4 linked regions of the Macaca mulatta genome follow. The protein of the gene in region 3 interacts with the protein of the main gene of each other region in a pairwise test. Links are inferred from orthologs where the notes say so. Each region holds a gene or a part of one and is shown on either strand. Other genes may lie near its edges.

Region 1 (3,501 bases), on a different chromosome or scaffold from region 3:
TTTTAGTAGAGGCGGGGTTTCTCCATGTTGGTCAGGCTGGTCTCGAACTCCTGACATCAGCTGATCGGCCCACCTGGCCTCATAATCACTCATTAAATAGTGCTGTTTCTGGCTGAAACCGAACAGATCTGTGTCCAGGTACCAACCTAGGTCTTAATTCAACTCCCTGGAGGCTATCTCTACCATCTGGGAGGGACAGTTAACAGCCAGGCAAGCAGAGAACCCTCAAGTTCAACACTACCCAGATAGCTTCTTGTCTTAGAAGAGATAAGAAAATGGGAGATGGGGCCAACTCCTCTTTCACTGGCATCCCCAACCCAGCCAGAAGCTTTATGAGAACAGATCCCACCTCATCTTCCATACCACACACAAAACCACCAACTGCATCAAAAAGCTTTATTTCCATTTGGTCCAAGGCTTGTTAGGGTCGTTAAGAAAGCTGCCTAGTGGCTGGAGGGAGAGGCTTAGGCAGAAGCCCTATTATTTTGCAAGGGGCCCTTCAGAAGTCGCTGGGCTCAGAAAGCTCTTAGTCGTGCTTGAGAGTGAGCCTTTCGAAGAGATACTCGCCCAGCCCAGCCTCCGGGCCGGCCAGCCTGTTGAGGTTGGTCAGGTGGTCACCCATCTTTTTGATGAGCTTCACTTCCTCATCTAGGAAGTGAGTCTCCAGGAAGTCACAGAGCTGAGAGAGAAGAGGGAGAAATTAGAAACCCGATCCCTGCCGGGCGCGGTGGCTCAAGCCTGTAATCCCAGCACTTTGGGAGGCCGAGACGGGCGGATCACGAGGTCAGGAGATCGAGACCATCCTGGCTAACATGGTGAAACCCCGTCTCTACTTAAAAAAAAAAAATACAAAAAACTAGCTGGGCGAGGTGGCGGGTGCCTGTAGTCCCAGCTACTTGGGAGGCTGAGGCAGGAGAATGGCGTGAACCTGGGAGGCGGAGCTTGCAGTGAGTCGAGATCCGGCCACTGCACTCCAGCCTGGGCGACAGAGTGAGACTCCGTCTCAAAAAAAAAAAAAGGAAACCCGATCCCTGGAAAAGAGGGAGAAAGAGCTGCCAGTTGCAGATTAAAATATGACAGGTGTTAAATGAGGCTCTGAAGGGAATTTGCCCAAAGAGAGCAAAGGCTTGAGGGGTATGGTTGGGTAGCCATGGATGCAGGGGGTACGTACATGGGGATCCGTGTGGGCAGAACCCAGGGCATGAAGATCCAAAAGGGCCTGATTCAGTTTTTTCTCCAGGGCCATGGCGGCTTTCATGGCATCCGGGGTTTTACCCCACTCATCTTCAGCTGGCTTCTATACAGAAGGGAGAAACGGCTTCAGAATACACACACTCGGCACATGGAACTAAACCTACATTTCCCAAGAATTGGTGGGGGTCAGAGGCCCAGGCCACAAAGACATGTGACAGCTTGTATTTATCACTCTCCGCACCCCGTCCTAGCTCTTACAGCTACACGTCCTTAAGTCTACGCAGCAGTGTGGACTGCCGCGTCCTGGGGGCACTGCACGACGTGCGCCTCTATTTCCAGCCGTAAAAGGGCTCACAAGACCGAACTCAATCTCCCCGAAGCCCACGCGACATCTAAGCCCTCAAATCAAGGCTCCTCGCGCGCACGGCCTGCTGGGAGATGTAGTCCGTTACCCTACCCACACACTAGTTACCTTGACGTCCTGAAAAAGAGCGCGGCCGCCACGCTGGTTTTGCATCTTCAGGAGACGCTCGTAGCCCTCGCGCTTCTCCTCGGCCAATTCGCGGAAGAAGTGGCTCACGCCTTCCAGAGCCACATCATCGCGGTCGAAATAGAAGCCCTAAGGAAAGAGATGGAGGGAACAACGCTTAGCGGGAGGCGAGGCCAAGGGGGACTCCGCCCTCTGTTTACTCGACCGGACAAAGAAGGCCGGCGCCTGCGCTGAGGGCCGAACGTGCGCAGCTGGGGGAAATTAGGGCCAGGGGCGTCCTGGGGACTCACCAGAGAGAGGTAGGTGTAGGAGGCCTGCAGGTACATATTGACCAGGCTGTTGACGGCTGCCTCCACGTCGGTGGAATAATTCTGACGAATCTGGGAGCTCATGGTTGGTCGGCAAGACGGAGCTAACCACAAAAACGGTGCTGGCAGGTCCCAGAAGCAGGAGATGGCCGAGAAGATGGTCCCGGAGGTTGCAAGTGGAGAGGAAATCGGAGGGCGCTCGGAGGCTGGAAGAAAGAGTCCCCGGATCTGTTCCGTCCAAACACTGTTGAAGCAAGAGACAGACCCGCGGGACCGCCGAACTGCGAGGGGACGTGGCTAGGGCGGCTTCTTTTATAGTGCGCTGGCCCTCGGAGGCGGGGCGCTCGGAGCGGGCTATCGGCCAATCTGCGGTGGCAGGAGGCGGGGCCGAAGGCCGTGCCTGACCAATCCGGAGCACACAGGAGTCTCAGCCCCCGCCCCAAAGCAGGGGGAAGTCACGCGCCTGCAGCGCGAGTGTGTTGTGAAATGGGGGCTTGCGGGGGTTGGGGCCCTGGGGCCGATTCGAGGAATGGAGGGTTTCGTGGGCGGGGGGGTGGGGGCTGGGGTTCCTCTGGGAGGCTATAGTTTTATGGGAGCATTGAGAGTCCTGTGAACTGATGACCCTGGGGTCCTGGGGGTGCCTCGGGAAAGTAAGTCAGATTGTGGGGTTTCGGAGGGCATGGATTTTTCTGGAACCTTGAGTGGGGGAGGGGCAACTCAGAGGTGCGGGGAGGACCTGTAGTTGCCTGAGGTTTGTGCTGCGAGATAAGGAGTCTCCGGATCCTTGGGAAGCTTGGAAGGCAGTGAGGTGGTATTTCTGGACCCCTGGGGATCTCTGGGAGACAGAGGGGTGCGAGGACTGGAGTCCTGGGCTTTACAGAGGTGGGAGTTCACGATGCAAACTCTATATTTTGGAGCCCTCCCCGGGGAGATCTTTAGGTCCTTGAGGTGCTCTGCAAGTTGGAAAGGGCAGTTGTTCTGGAGCCGTGGGGTTCCCCAGTGCGGGAAGCCCAGGAGGAGCATTGTATGAGGTAGGGTGACTTCTGGAACCCTGGACAGCCCTCGGAAACCCTCCAAAGACTGGCTGGGACTTTGGGGATACCTTGGAGCTCTTTTAAGGGCCCAGTCGTTTTCTGGGAGTGGAAATGGGGAGGAATGAAATGTCTGTTTCGAGCTTTGCGGTGTCTCTGGGACTGCGTGTCCTGGGGGCTGTTTTGGAGGCAACTCACAGACTCCGAGAATTCTCCTTGGCCCTGAAAACAGTGTCTCCGCAGTTGCCGTCGTGTCTTGCCTGACGTGTGCTCTTTCAGGCCCACAAAGAGAAGCCCTGCGTTGTGGACACACAGTCTGGGGACCTATGGACGAGACGTCTGTCTACAACTAATGCGTATTTTTTTTTTTTTTTTTTTTGAGACAGAGTCTGGCTCTGTTGCCCAGGCTGGAGTGCAGTGGCCGGATCTCAGCTCACTGCAAGCCCCGCCTTCCAGGTTCACGCCATTCTCCTGTCTC
Region 2 (3,008 bases), on a different chromosome or scaffold from region 3:
AACAATGACTGAGGGCAGAACCTAGAGGCCAGAGGGCAGATTTATGACCCCAGGTGAAGTCATAGGATCAGAGTGATCAAAGGGAGGAGTCTTAAGTCATAGAATATTCCCAGGCCTTGAAACCTAATGGTTGGATTTTGAAATTGTTTGGATTTAAGACTCTTTTGTTCTTTCTACTTTTTCCCCTATGGAATGGCAAAGTTATTGGCTGTAAATGAACCAAAGTCAAAGGGAAAACACAGAATTACTAGAAAGGAAAATTAAATAATAGAAAAGAAACATCTCTTAGTGCTTTTGCTTCACCTAGGAGAGACAAGAAATATACATCTGGGCTTAAACTGAGCACAAGATGCACTTCTCCGAGACGGGCGGATCACAAGGTCAGGAGATCGAGACCATCCTGGCGAACACGGTGAAACCCCATCTCTACTAAAAAGTACAAAAAAAAAAAAAAAACTAGCCGGGCGAGGTGGCGGGCGCCTGTAGTCCCAGCTACTCGGGAGGCTGAGGCAGGAGAATGGCGTGAACCCAGGAGGCGGAGCTTGCAGTGAGCCGAGATCTGGCCACTGCACTCCAGCCTACGCAACAGAGCGAGACTCCGTCTCAAAAAAAAAAAAAAAAAAAAAAAAAAAAAAAAAAAAAGATGCACTTCCCTATCAACTGTTTACCTGACACTGACAGGTAAACTTATTGAGCATCTTATTATTAATTGAAAAATGATTAAAATATATTTTTCAACCATTATGGAAAACAGTATGGCAATTCCTCAAGGATCTAGAACTAGAAATACCATTTGACTCAGCCATCCCATTACTGGGGATATACCCAAAGGATTATAAATCATGCTGCTATAAAGACACATACACATGTATGTTTATTGCAGCACTATTCACAATAGCAAAGACTTGGAATCAACCCAAATGTCCATCAGTGACAGACTGGATTAAGAAAATGTGGCACATATACACCATGGAATACTATGAAGCCATAAAAAAGGATGAGTTCGTGTCCTTTGTAGGCACATGGATGCAGCTGGAAACCATCATTCTCAGCAAACTATCGCAAGAACAGAAAACCAAACACTGCATGTTCTCACTCATAGGTGGGAATTGAAGAATGAGATCACTTGGACACAGGAAGGGGAACATCACACACTGGGGTCTATTGTGGGGAGGGGGGAGGGGGGCGGGATAGCATTAGGAGATATACCTAATGTAAATGACGAGTTAATGGGTGCAGCACACCAACATGGCACATGTATACATATGTAACAAACCTGCACATTGTGCACATGTACCCTAGAACTTAAAGTATAATAATAAAAAATAAAAATAAAAAAATAAATAAAATGCATTTTTCAAATAGGGTAAAATCATGACACTCATACAGATACGAAATGAACACATGCTACAAGAAAAAGATGTTATGACTGCTTCAAAAGGGAAACCAAAGAGTCGATATGGGAATATTCATCAGTAATATTAAATGATTGTGCACATGGAGGCAAAACTGGTTTCATAAGGTGAAGACAACTGAACCTCTACTAAAGAATATACTGTACACGTATCAGCCACCTACAACTAACAAAAGGCTATAAAAGACTTCACAGATAATGTAAGGCTAGAATCAGATAACCTGCAGTGGTGTCCTAAAGATAGAGCAAAGTTTTCCATTGAAACACACTTTTATTTTTATAATGTCAAAATCAGGTAAAGAGTTATAGTTCCCTCAAAATCAGGGTTCAGTCATTAGGGTGACTAGATCAGTGTCACAGACATTTCTAAGCTGAGGTCTGATCAGGGACCAGTGGACACCAGTGAAATCACAAAGCCTAGGGATGTCACAAAGGCAGCTAGCTCCCTGACCAATCAGGGCCTGGAGCAGAGGGATCCAATAGGCAGCACCAGCGTCCTCAGAGACTTACTTGAGCTGGAGAATCAAGCAGAGCTGATCAGAGCCAAACCCAGCAAATATCATGTCAGAGAAAAATAACCGTAAGAACTCCTCTGCAAATAACAACCAGATTCAAGACCGGTCTAGAAATGAGCTGCGGGTCCCTATGAGCTTCGTGGACCGAGTTGTGCAAGATGAACAAGATGCCCAAAGCCAGAGTTCCTCCACAATAAATATCCTCCTTACCCTGCTCGATTGCCTTGCTGACTACATCATGGAGCAGGTAGGCTTGGAGGCCATCAACAATGGCAGGATGCGCAACACTTCACAAGATGGGGAGAGAGAAGGGGACAACCACCATGAGCCCCACCGCACTGAGAGTGATGGAACCCGCTTTGTGTTTGATGAGATGCCCAAATCCGGAAAGAATGACTGAAGACTGGGTCCCAGAGCCTTGAGGGGATCCTCACAGGCTTAGCCAGGGCAAAAATGTGTCACAGCTGAGGAATATCTGCTGTTGTCATCAACAAGTGCTACTAAAGGATGTAAATCCATGAGTATGTTTCTGACTCCTTCCAGTTTCCGTCTTTTTGGGTTGTAGGTGTCTGTGAGACATCAAGGAGAAGCTATCCCCAGAGAGCTGAAGTTGGGGGGGGGGGCGGGAAGTGGTGGCCAGTGTGGAGTGTTTGAATCAGTGATTTAGAGGGGGCAGTTTCCAACGGTGACAGAGAGGGCACGGGCCCTGTGGGGAGGAACTGGCTGGGATAAAGACACCGAGACTTCCTAATTGCCTCTGAACAGGAAGGCCTTGTGAGGCCGGGGAGTTGGCTGGGGGCCTCTGAGGCTTGCTGAATTCCCAGCCTGATGCTGGGGCCTGGGGTGGAGCTGCAGACTCTGACTGAAGTGCAGGAGGCAGAGGGTGGTGGCCACAGGGGCGGGTGGAGAGGGGGCACACTGGCTGGCATGAAGTTCATGGGATAGGGACTTTACATGGAGATTGAGAGTGAAGGAGAAACCATGATGAAAAATGCAAAAAAGAAATGATGGCCTGCTGGATTTCATTTCTTATTTCTTTATGCCCTGACTTATTATGAAAGAGGATTTGAGACAGGGAT
Region 3 (4,300 bases):
TGCCTCAGCCTCCTGAGTAGCTGGGATTACAGGTGCCTACCACCATGTCCGGGTAATTTTTGTATTTTTAGTAGAGACGAGGTTTCACCATCTTGGCCAGGCTGGTCTTGAACTCCTGACCTCATGATCCACCGGCCTCGGCCTCCCATACTGCTGGGATTACAGGTATAAGCCACCACACCCAGTCTATGCTGCTACTTTCTATCATGCTGGTAAGGCCAAGAACAGAATTAAGACCTCACTGTTCTCCCTCAACATGCTTAGGGCTCTTTTATTGTTCAGCTATGTTCCCTCCTTCCCCCCGTTTCCTATCCCAAAAGGACATCAGAATTCTCCTGGCTCCCTGCTGTGAACAATGAGAGGAAGGAACACTGGTTCTTCACATGCTGCACAGATCTCATCTCCCTTGTAATCTCCCCTGAGTCCCCAGCAGGGTTCCCCTTCCTCTCATTGTCCTTGCCACCGGCTTGAACTTGTCATTTTGATCTGTCATAGGATGAGGAGCAGGACAGATCAGACTTGGTCTATGGGGCCTAAGGGAAAAAACTAGGAACAAAGGGTAAAAGATAGAGGGAGAAGATTGCAGCTCAAAGCTGCACGTCAATGGAAGGGGCTGTCTCCTGACGTGAGCAGAAGCTGAACAGTGGTTGCCTGGGAGGAGATTCGGTCATCAGGGGCTAGGTAGAAAGAGGTGACCACCATTGTCTACCAGATGGTAAGGTCAAGGGCAGGGACCCTGTCTGGGGTGTCCCTATAATCCCCAGCCCTAAGACTGAGCCTTGTTCACTGCTGGTGTCTGAGGTCTGCCCACTGCATTGGAAAGAATTTGTCCTCTCAGACCCTGAGGCACCTACTGAGAGGTGACCATGGCCTGAGAGGCCCGAAGATTATACAGTCCCTGCTCCACCTGACATTTGAGACCTGCATGATACATGTAAAATTGATGGCTCAGATGAAGAGGCAGAACAACCAAGCCCGATGGCCAAGGAGAGAAGAGATTTAAACTGAGTTTGAAGGGCTCTGTTTTTTCTCCTTTTTCACCCCCATCCACAGTAATGAGTCAGGAAAATTCTGGTGTTGGAAAAAGAGTTGAGGAGGTAACATAGAAGGACAGATCAATGGTCCGGAGTGAGACAGGGAGGAGACAGGGAGCTTAGTACATCTTGACCTTGCGGCTCTGGGGAAGGTGGCACGTGTAAGCTGTAAATTCTAATCTCTGCTCTGACCACGGCCGCTGTATTAAAGAGAAAATTTCTCTTGACCCCTGCCAAGAAAACCAAAACCCAAATAATTTCTCTTGCCTCAACTTACCCCCCATCACATGAGACCTAAGAGAACATACAGGTCAGAGCTGCTTGGGAACCCCAAAAGTGGAATCTATTAGCTGCTCTGAGTCTTGATCCCTTTTATCCCTGGATACTGAGTGCCCATGAATGCCCAGAATCTGAAGCAGTCCCATTCTTTCGGGAGGGAGGTCTTTAAGAGTCTCATCGACTGATGTAGTGTGGTTAAGGTGCTGTCAGGAAGCAGGGAGATGGATAAGTTGGCTCTTAAGGCCTCTTCCAGCCTAAGCCTACCCTTCCTTGTTCCCTCCTCCCCCTACACCCACCAGCTTCTTGGGGACTAGCAAGGAGAGAGCAGGCAGGCCGCCCAGCTAGGAGTAATTGAAAGGAGCAGATGAGAGGGGAATGTGTCCTCCCCCAATGCCCCTGCCCCACAGGGGCTGCTGAGAAATGAAAACTAATCAAATTACACCCGACGGCCTCCCGACCCGTGCACAGGAGCCCGCCTGGGCCAGGGACAGGCTGGCTGGGTGGGGTGGGGGCCATGGGGGAGAGAGAAGGGGAATCACATCTAATCCACTGTAAACGTCTTGATGTGCAGCAACAGCTTAGAGGGGGCTCAGGTTTCTGTGGCGTTGGCTATATTTATCTCTGGTTCCATGCCAGCGGGGAGGGTTTAAATGGCACCCAGCAGTTGGCGTGAGGGGCTGCAGGAGCTTGGGGTCTGGTGGCAGGAACAAGCCTTTTCTGACCCCATGGAGCTGTATGAGACATCCCCCTACTTCTACCAGGAACCCCGCTTCTATGACGGGGAAAACTACCTGCCTGTCCACCTCCAGGGCTTCGAGCCACCAGGCTATGAGCGGACGGAGCTCACCCTGAGCCCCGAGACCCCAGGGCCCCTCGAAGACAAGGGGCTGGGCACCCCCGAGCACTGTCCGGGCCAGTGCCTTCCGTGGGCGTGTAAGGTGTGTAAGAGGAAGTCGGTGTCCGTGGACCGGCGGCGGGCGGCCACACTGAGGGAGAAGCGCAGGCTCAAGAAGGTGAATGAGGCCTTCGAGGCCCTGAAGAGGAGCACCCTGCTCAACCCCAACCAGCGGCTGCCCAAGGTGGAGATCCTGCGCAGCGCCATCCAATACATCGAGCGCCTCCAGACCCTGCTCAGCTCCCTCAACCAGGAGGAGCGTGACCTCCGCTACCGGGGCGGGGGTGGGCCCCAGCCAGGGGTAAGTGGCCATCCCGTCCCCCTGCCCCAGGGGGAGGGGGCCAGAGGGAGGCACCTGGACAGCCTCAAGACCCCAAGAGGGGCTCAGAGGGTTGGAGCAGGTGCCAGACAGGGTCGAGGGGCTTCAGGAGCCCTTCCCTGGTCAGAGCTGGGCTATCCAGCTGACCCCCTGTGTCCTGTGTTCTTTCCAGACGAGATAGAGGCAGTGAGGAGGAAGTGCAGAAAGGGTGGGGGTGGGGAACACAGGACTGAAGAAAGGATCAGGAGCAAGGCCACAGTCAGCCCGGGTAAGGGTGAGGATTAATCGCAGAGCCTGAGTCAGAGCCTAAAAAGCCAGGCCAAGTTCACCAGAGAAGGCTGCTTTGCCCCCTGCCCCACCCCCATCCTGGGTGTGGCTGAGCAGAGAGAAAACCCACTCAGTCTCATTGGAACTCCAGCAGGCCTGCACAGAGTGACCTTCACTGGGCCAGAAAATCTGTCTCCATCACCCTTATCACCAGAGTCAGGAGAACCAGGGACCTTTAACCTGGGGTCCTGTGAGGGCAGAACCACCACTCAGGATGGAAGCCAAGAAGGCCTGGAAGCAGGGCCTCTAGGACATGAGAGGAGCTGGTTACTAAGATTCTGGGGTTGGGGATGGCCTGGGCTGGAAGGCCACAGCCTGTGGCCCACCCTCCAACCCCACCACAGGTGCTTCTGCCCACTGGGACTAGGCAGAGAGACACATCAAAGAACGGCTGTGCCCCGACCTTGGGCCTTCGCCCTGTCTTGCAGGTGCCCAGCGAATGCAGCTCTCACAGCGCCTCCTGCAGTCCAGAGTGGGGCAGCGCACTGGAGTTCGGCGCCAACCCCGGGGGTAAGTGAGGCTTGACCCTGGTAACCTTGACTCCAATCCCTCAGTCCCTCCCTGGGCGTTCTTCCCTCTTACCTTATTCCTTGCTCCGGTCCTCTTCCCTTGGGTCTCTCCAGGGACCTGCTGACTCCAGGACCCAAAGGGTGGGCTGGGAGGTTCTGTGTAGCCCTGCAGTCTTGACCAGCAAAGGAGTGATAGTGGCTCCTGCAGCTCCCCAGCTGATGCCTGGTGGTTGACCTTCTCCACAGAGAGGACAATGTCCCTGCCCCAGGGGTCCCTGCGAAGTGCTGAGTCAGTGCTGCAAAACCGGGCCGAGCAAAGGGCAGGTCCAGTCTCTGGGGAGCTCCATCCTGCTCCAACTTGAGTGACTGCTTCCAAACCCTACCTCACTAGGGGAGTTCAGAGAAGAGGCGCGCGCGCGCACACACACACACACACACACACACACACACACACACACAGAGCATGGGGAAAGGCAGGGACTAGGGAGTAGAACTCCGGAGCTTTATCCCCCATCTGTCCTGGAAAACCTGTGTCACCCCAAGGGTCCCATCCTCTATTCTGGGCCTCAAGAACCCCCACTCCTCACCCAGGTACCACCTTCCCACCTCCCCTTACAGATCATCTGCTCACGGCTGACCCTACAGATGCCCACAACCTGCACTCCCTCACCTCCATCGTGGACAGCATCACAGTGGAAGATGTGTCTGTGGCCTTCCCAGATGAAACCATGCCCAACTGAGATTGTCTGCCAAGCCAGGCATCCTTGCAAGCCCCCCAAGCTGACCACAGATGCCACTGCTTCTGTAGCAGGGGCCTCCTAAGCCAGGCTGCCCTGATGCTAGGAAGCCAGCTCTGGGGTGCCATAGGCCAGACTATCCCCTTCCTCATCCATGTAAGGTTAACCCACCCCCCAGCAAGGTACTGGATGCCCTCATT
Region 4 (4,040 bases), on a different chromosome or scaffold from region 3:
TTTTAAACATTCAACCAACAGACTTTTACTGAATTCCTTTAACGCACAAAGCATACTAAATATAGAACCCAATCCCTAGCAGCAATGAGCAGGTAGGAAGGTAAAGACGGTATTATCTATCACACACGCTTGACTTAAACACATATTTATTCATTCATAAACATTTGCATGGAACCAACTAAATCCAGGAATCAAATGGCATTGGAGCCCAACTGCCAAATGAGGGACACAGACACTAGGAACAGAGGTCGGAAGAGGACCTCCACATGCTAGGCCTCCACCTACTCTGTCCTGCTATGCTTCCCATTGCTTCCCCAGTCCAAGCCAACTAAGAGAACCCTGACCCAAGCTTTTCTGCCTCTTTAATCCCCCGGCCCCTTCCTCCAGCACACCCTTCCCCTCCTCACTGTACAGGTTAAGATCCTCTGTGCCTCCTAAAAACTAAGCCTTGCCTGCCCTCTATGCTACAGGTGTGGCACTCCCTCTCTTTCACCTCCTCTCTCATGAAACTCTCTTCAGACTTCCCTGAAGACACTTGTCATAGTGTGCCTTGTGTCACATTTGTGTATGTTATGTCTATACCCCAAGCTTCAGAAATTCCTTCAGGCAGGTGCTGGGATGTCTTTGTATTCCTAGCTTGGGTGCTCAACATTATTTGTAGAACTGAATTTGTGGGGAAAGAGGCATTTAGACTCAGAATGGCAGGGCTGCATCATGAAGTACAACTCCCTCACCTGACTCTTGACGAAACTGAGGTCCAGAGACATGAAGTGATTAGTCAGGGGGAGGTCCAGCACTCCAAGCTGAATTGAAGAAGTGACTGGGGGGCCGGGGTTGGTAGTGGATAAACTACAATGTTCTCTTGCCTAATCATTTGGCTTGCTTATTTCCTTAAAAGTCTAAATATTTGATGCCACATATTTCTTTTGCCTAACCCAAACTCTCTGGACCTGACTCTCGGAAATGCTTGAAGTATTTCATACAAGTATAATCAATGCATTAAGCACCTGGAGCAAAGTGGCTGGAACCAGACCAGAAATTGATGTTCCCTCCTCTAAGAGCCAACTGCACCATAGCTATGCTTCTCCTGAACTACTGATCAGTCTACCTTGCTTTAGTGTTGTCTGTGGATTCATCTCTCCCCCTGCAACCTCACTGTGGACTCCATGAGGGCAAAAACCATGTTCTCTACAGCTTTGTATTCCCAGAGCTTACCACCATGCCTGCCACTTACATGCTCCATAAATGCTGTTGAAGGAATAGATTAATAAAAAAGCCATCTACCAGCACTGAGCACTCACTAAACATAAAGCACTTATATGGATTACCTCACTTAATCCTTAACATTACCCTGATAAAGATCATTAGTGGCTGAATGTTACAGATGAGGAAACTGAAGTACGCAGAAGTTTAATAACTTGCCCAAGTTTCTCAAAAATAGTAACTGATGCAGCCATTAAAAAGAACGAAATAATGTCCTCTGCAGCAACATGGACGCGGCTGGAAGCCACTATCCTCTTTTTTATTCTCTTTTGTTTGAGAAGGAGTCTCAACTCTGTTGCGCACGCTAGAGCGTAAGAGGCATGATCTCAGCTCAATGCAACCTCCACCTTCCGGGTTCAATCAGTTCTGCCTCAGCCTCCCCAGTAGCTGGGATTACAGGTGTGCACCACCACACCCGGCTAATTTTTGTATTTTTAGTAGAGACGAGGTTTTCCCATGTTGGCCAGGCTGGTCTCGAACTCCTGGCCTCAGGTGTTCCTCAGCCTCGGCCTCCCAAAGTGCTGGGATTACAGGCGTGAGCCCGGCCTGGAAGCCATTATCCTAAGAGAATTAACACAGGAACAGAAAACCAAACACCGCATGGGAGTTAAAACTGGGCACGCATAGACATAAAGATGACAATATAGACACACTGGTGACTACTAGAGCAGGGAGGGAGGCAGTGGGGCTAGGAGTAAAAAACTACCTATTGGGTACTACGCTCACTACCTGGGTGAAAGGATCATTCATATCCCAAACCTCAGCATCACGCACTATACCCAGGCAACAACCCTGCACCAATGTACCCCCCTGAATCCAAAATAAAAGTTGAAAACATTTAAAAAACTTTTGTGACAATAGTAGTGAAAACAGTATTTGAACCCAAGTCTGCACACGGTTAAACCCATGCTTCTCAGCAATGCATACGCAGGACAACAGTGGACCTAAGTGGTCCGTGGGTGCCAGGGAGGCGGCCACTGGGCCAAGGGCACAGGGTATGGTCAAGTCTCCAGCAATGCACTTTTCTCAGCACTACCACCCTCAGCCCGAACCAAGGACTGGAAGGAGCCCCAGGGAGTGTGGGTGGAGAGCGGGGCAGGAACCCGTGGGCCCGGGAACGAGGAAGGGGGGTCGCTTACCTATTATGGGCACCTCAGCGATGAAGACCCTCCGAATCGAATTGGCCACCCTGAAAGACGAAAAGCCAAGAGGCGTGAAGGCGCTGCAGCCTCGACAGGCTGGGCCCGCGCCGCAGGCTCCCAAAGCTAAAGCCCTGGCGCAGGGGGGCAGCTCTGGAAGGACATCACCCCCACTCCACCCCCGCTCCCTGCCCCCGGGGCCCCGGCTTGGGCCTCCCGGCGCCCCAGAGCCGCCAGCCTCTTCCCTCGGCAGCCTTACGCCAGGTCGGTGTTCTCGATGATGAACTTCACATTCTCGTCAGTGAGCTCAGTGATCCGCACGGTGGGCTGGTTGGCGTACGGCATCGCTCCCCGTGGCCGCCAGCCTCCGCGTCAGCTCCGCGGTGACTGCGCCTGCGCCACCGCCGACACCGGAAGTCAGTCAGCGTGGCCTCCGCGAAGACGGCTCACAGCGCCGCCTGCTGCTCGGAGGCCGGAACCGCCGAGCGTCTTCTACCGCCTCCTGCTTTAAAATGTACCGGATTCAGCTATCTCGGAGGGTAGTTTGGCAAAACACGCGTACGTCCTCGACTTAACAGTAACATTTCTAAGAACTCATACTGCAGAAACACTTGCAGTTGTAAACAAAGATACGAGTGCAGGGACATTCATGGTAGTACTGTTTGTACTGTCCACTGATAAGAGACCTGGTGAAGTATACACACGTAGAATATCATGAAGCCCTTAAAAAGAACTTGTACATCTACAGAAAAACAAAAGTATATTTTAATATGAATGCATATTTTAGGAAAGTATACCTGAATTATAAGTAAATACCCTTTCCCTTGCAGTCTCAAGTATGGACCATGCACTTCTGAAAACTTCAGGAAAAGATATAATATTCTTTAACCTAATGCTTCCTCTGCAGTCTGTGTAGCTGCGGTGGGTGAGTGGGAGCTCTTTGTCTCTGCATCTCCAGTGCCTCGCAGTGGGCACCATGTGGGGTGCATGCTCAACCAACAACTACTGAAGTCCCCTAAACAGACTGGAGAGAGTCTCAAACTCTCAATGGGCCTCAAACAAAGTGGCGGCTGCTCCAACAGACAAAAGCTCTAAAATAGAACTTGACAGGAGCTACATTTAAGAGGTGGGAGAAGAGTAACCAGATAAAGAGTTTGCCTTTGCAAAGACTGACACCTCTTCCTGAGACAGAGGGTGGGCACTGATGGAACCCTGCTCCATAGCCTGTGTCATCTCTGTAAATTAAGAATTATGGTTGTCTGCTGAGTGTGAGATGGATGCTATGAAGGAAAAAGGAGAATGCAATGAAAACTGGAACAGCTACTGCAAAAACTTCACAGGATGTCAAAAGATACAAGGAATGAAGAGAGGTACAAAAAAGATCCAGTGGAAGACCCACAAGAGATCTGAAATTCAATTAGTTGCTGACTTCCCCCAATAATATTTAGCTGACTTAGGCAGAAGAGAGCAAAGCAGAAAACAGAGCTAACCAGACATGCAAAGGGAACCCAGCCAGTGTACAGGCTGAGAAAATTACTGGGGCTAAAGAATGTACCACTGAAATCGTCAGACAAGGGCAGCCAAGAGAGCTAATGGTCTGTGGGAAGGCTTCTGTTACCCCTATTTTACTGATGGGAA

The links. The genes of interacting proteins can lie anywhere in the genome.
Region 1: the proteins of MYOG (region 3) and FTL interact in binary tests that used the Homo sapiens proteins (3 or more experiments, as listed by UniProt). The two-hybrid records come from large-scale screens. The link is inferred for Macaca mulatta from reciprocal best matches to the Homo sapiens genes MYOG and FTL.
Region 2: the proteins of MYOG (region 3) and H2AP interact in binary tests that used the Homo sapiens proteins (3 or more experiments, as listed by UniProt). The two-hybrid records come from large-scale screens. The link is inferred for Macaca mulatta from reciprocal best matches to the Homo sapiens genes MYOG and H2AP.
Region 4: the proteins of MYOG (region 3) and POLR2C interact in a two-hybrid assay, tested with the Homo sapiens proteins (2 studies listed by BioGRID and IntAct). The link is inferred for Macaca mulatta from reciprocal best matches to the Homo sapiens genes MYOG and POLR2C.

Annotation. Positions count from the first base shown.
Region 1 is NC_133424.1:61,421,569-61,425,069, reverse strand, and holds FTL (ferritin light chain), read right to left. Parts: upstream 2,278-3,501; 5' UTR 2,077-2,277; coding exon 1,975-2,076; intron 1,814-1,974; coding exon 1,667-1,813; intron 1,298-1,666; coding exon 1,172-1,297; intron 680-1,171; coding exon 527-679; 3' UTR 501-526; downstream 1-500.
Region 2 is NC_133426.1:37,817,893-37,820,900, forward strand, and holds H2AP (huntingtin-interacting protein M), read left to right. Parts: upstream 1-1,204; 5' UTR 1,205-1,975; coding exon 1,976-2,329; 3' UTR 2,330-2,508; downstream 2,509-3,008.
Region 3 is NC_133406.1:60,809,055-60,813,354, reverse strand, and holds the start of MYOG (myogenin), read left to right. Parts: upstream 1-1,500; 5' UTR 1,501-1,963; coding exon 1,964-2,509; intron 2,510-3,282; coding exon 3,283-3,364; intron 3,365-3,436; exon of another isoform or gene 3,437-3,638; intron 3,639-3,981; coding exon 3,982-4,103; 3' UTR 4,104-4,300. UniProt on the Homo sapiens protein: Acts as a transcriptional activator that promotes transcription of muscle-specific target genes and plays a role in muscle differentiation, cell cycle exit and muscle atrophy.
Region 4 is NC_133425.1:53,058,717-53,062,756, reverse strand, and holds the start of POLR2C (DNA-directed RNA polymerase II subunit RPB3), read right to left. Parts: upstream 2,801-4,040; 5' UTR 2,748-2,800; coding exon 2,662-2,747; intron 2,453-2,661; coding exon 2,403-2,452; intron 1-2,402. UniProt on the Homo sapiens protein: Core component of RNA polymerase II (Pol II), a DNA-dependent RNA polymerase which synthesizes mRNA precursors and many functional non-coding RNAs using the four ribonucleoside triphosphates as substrates.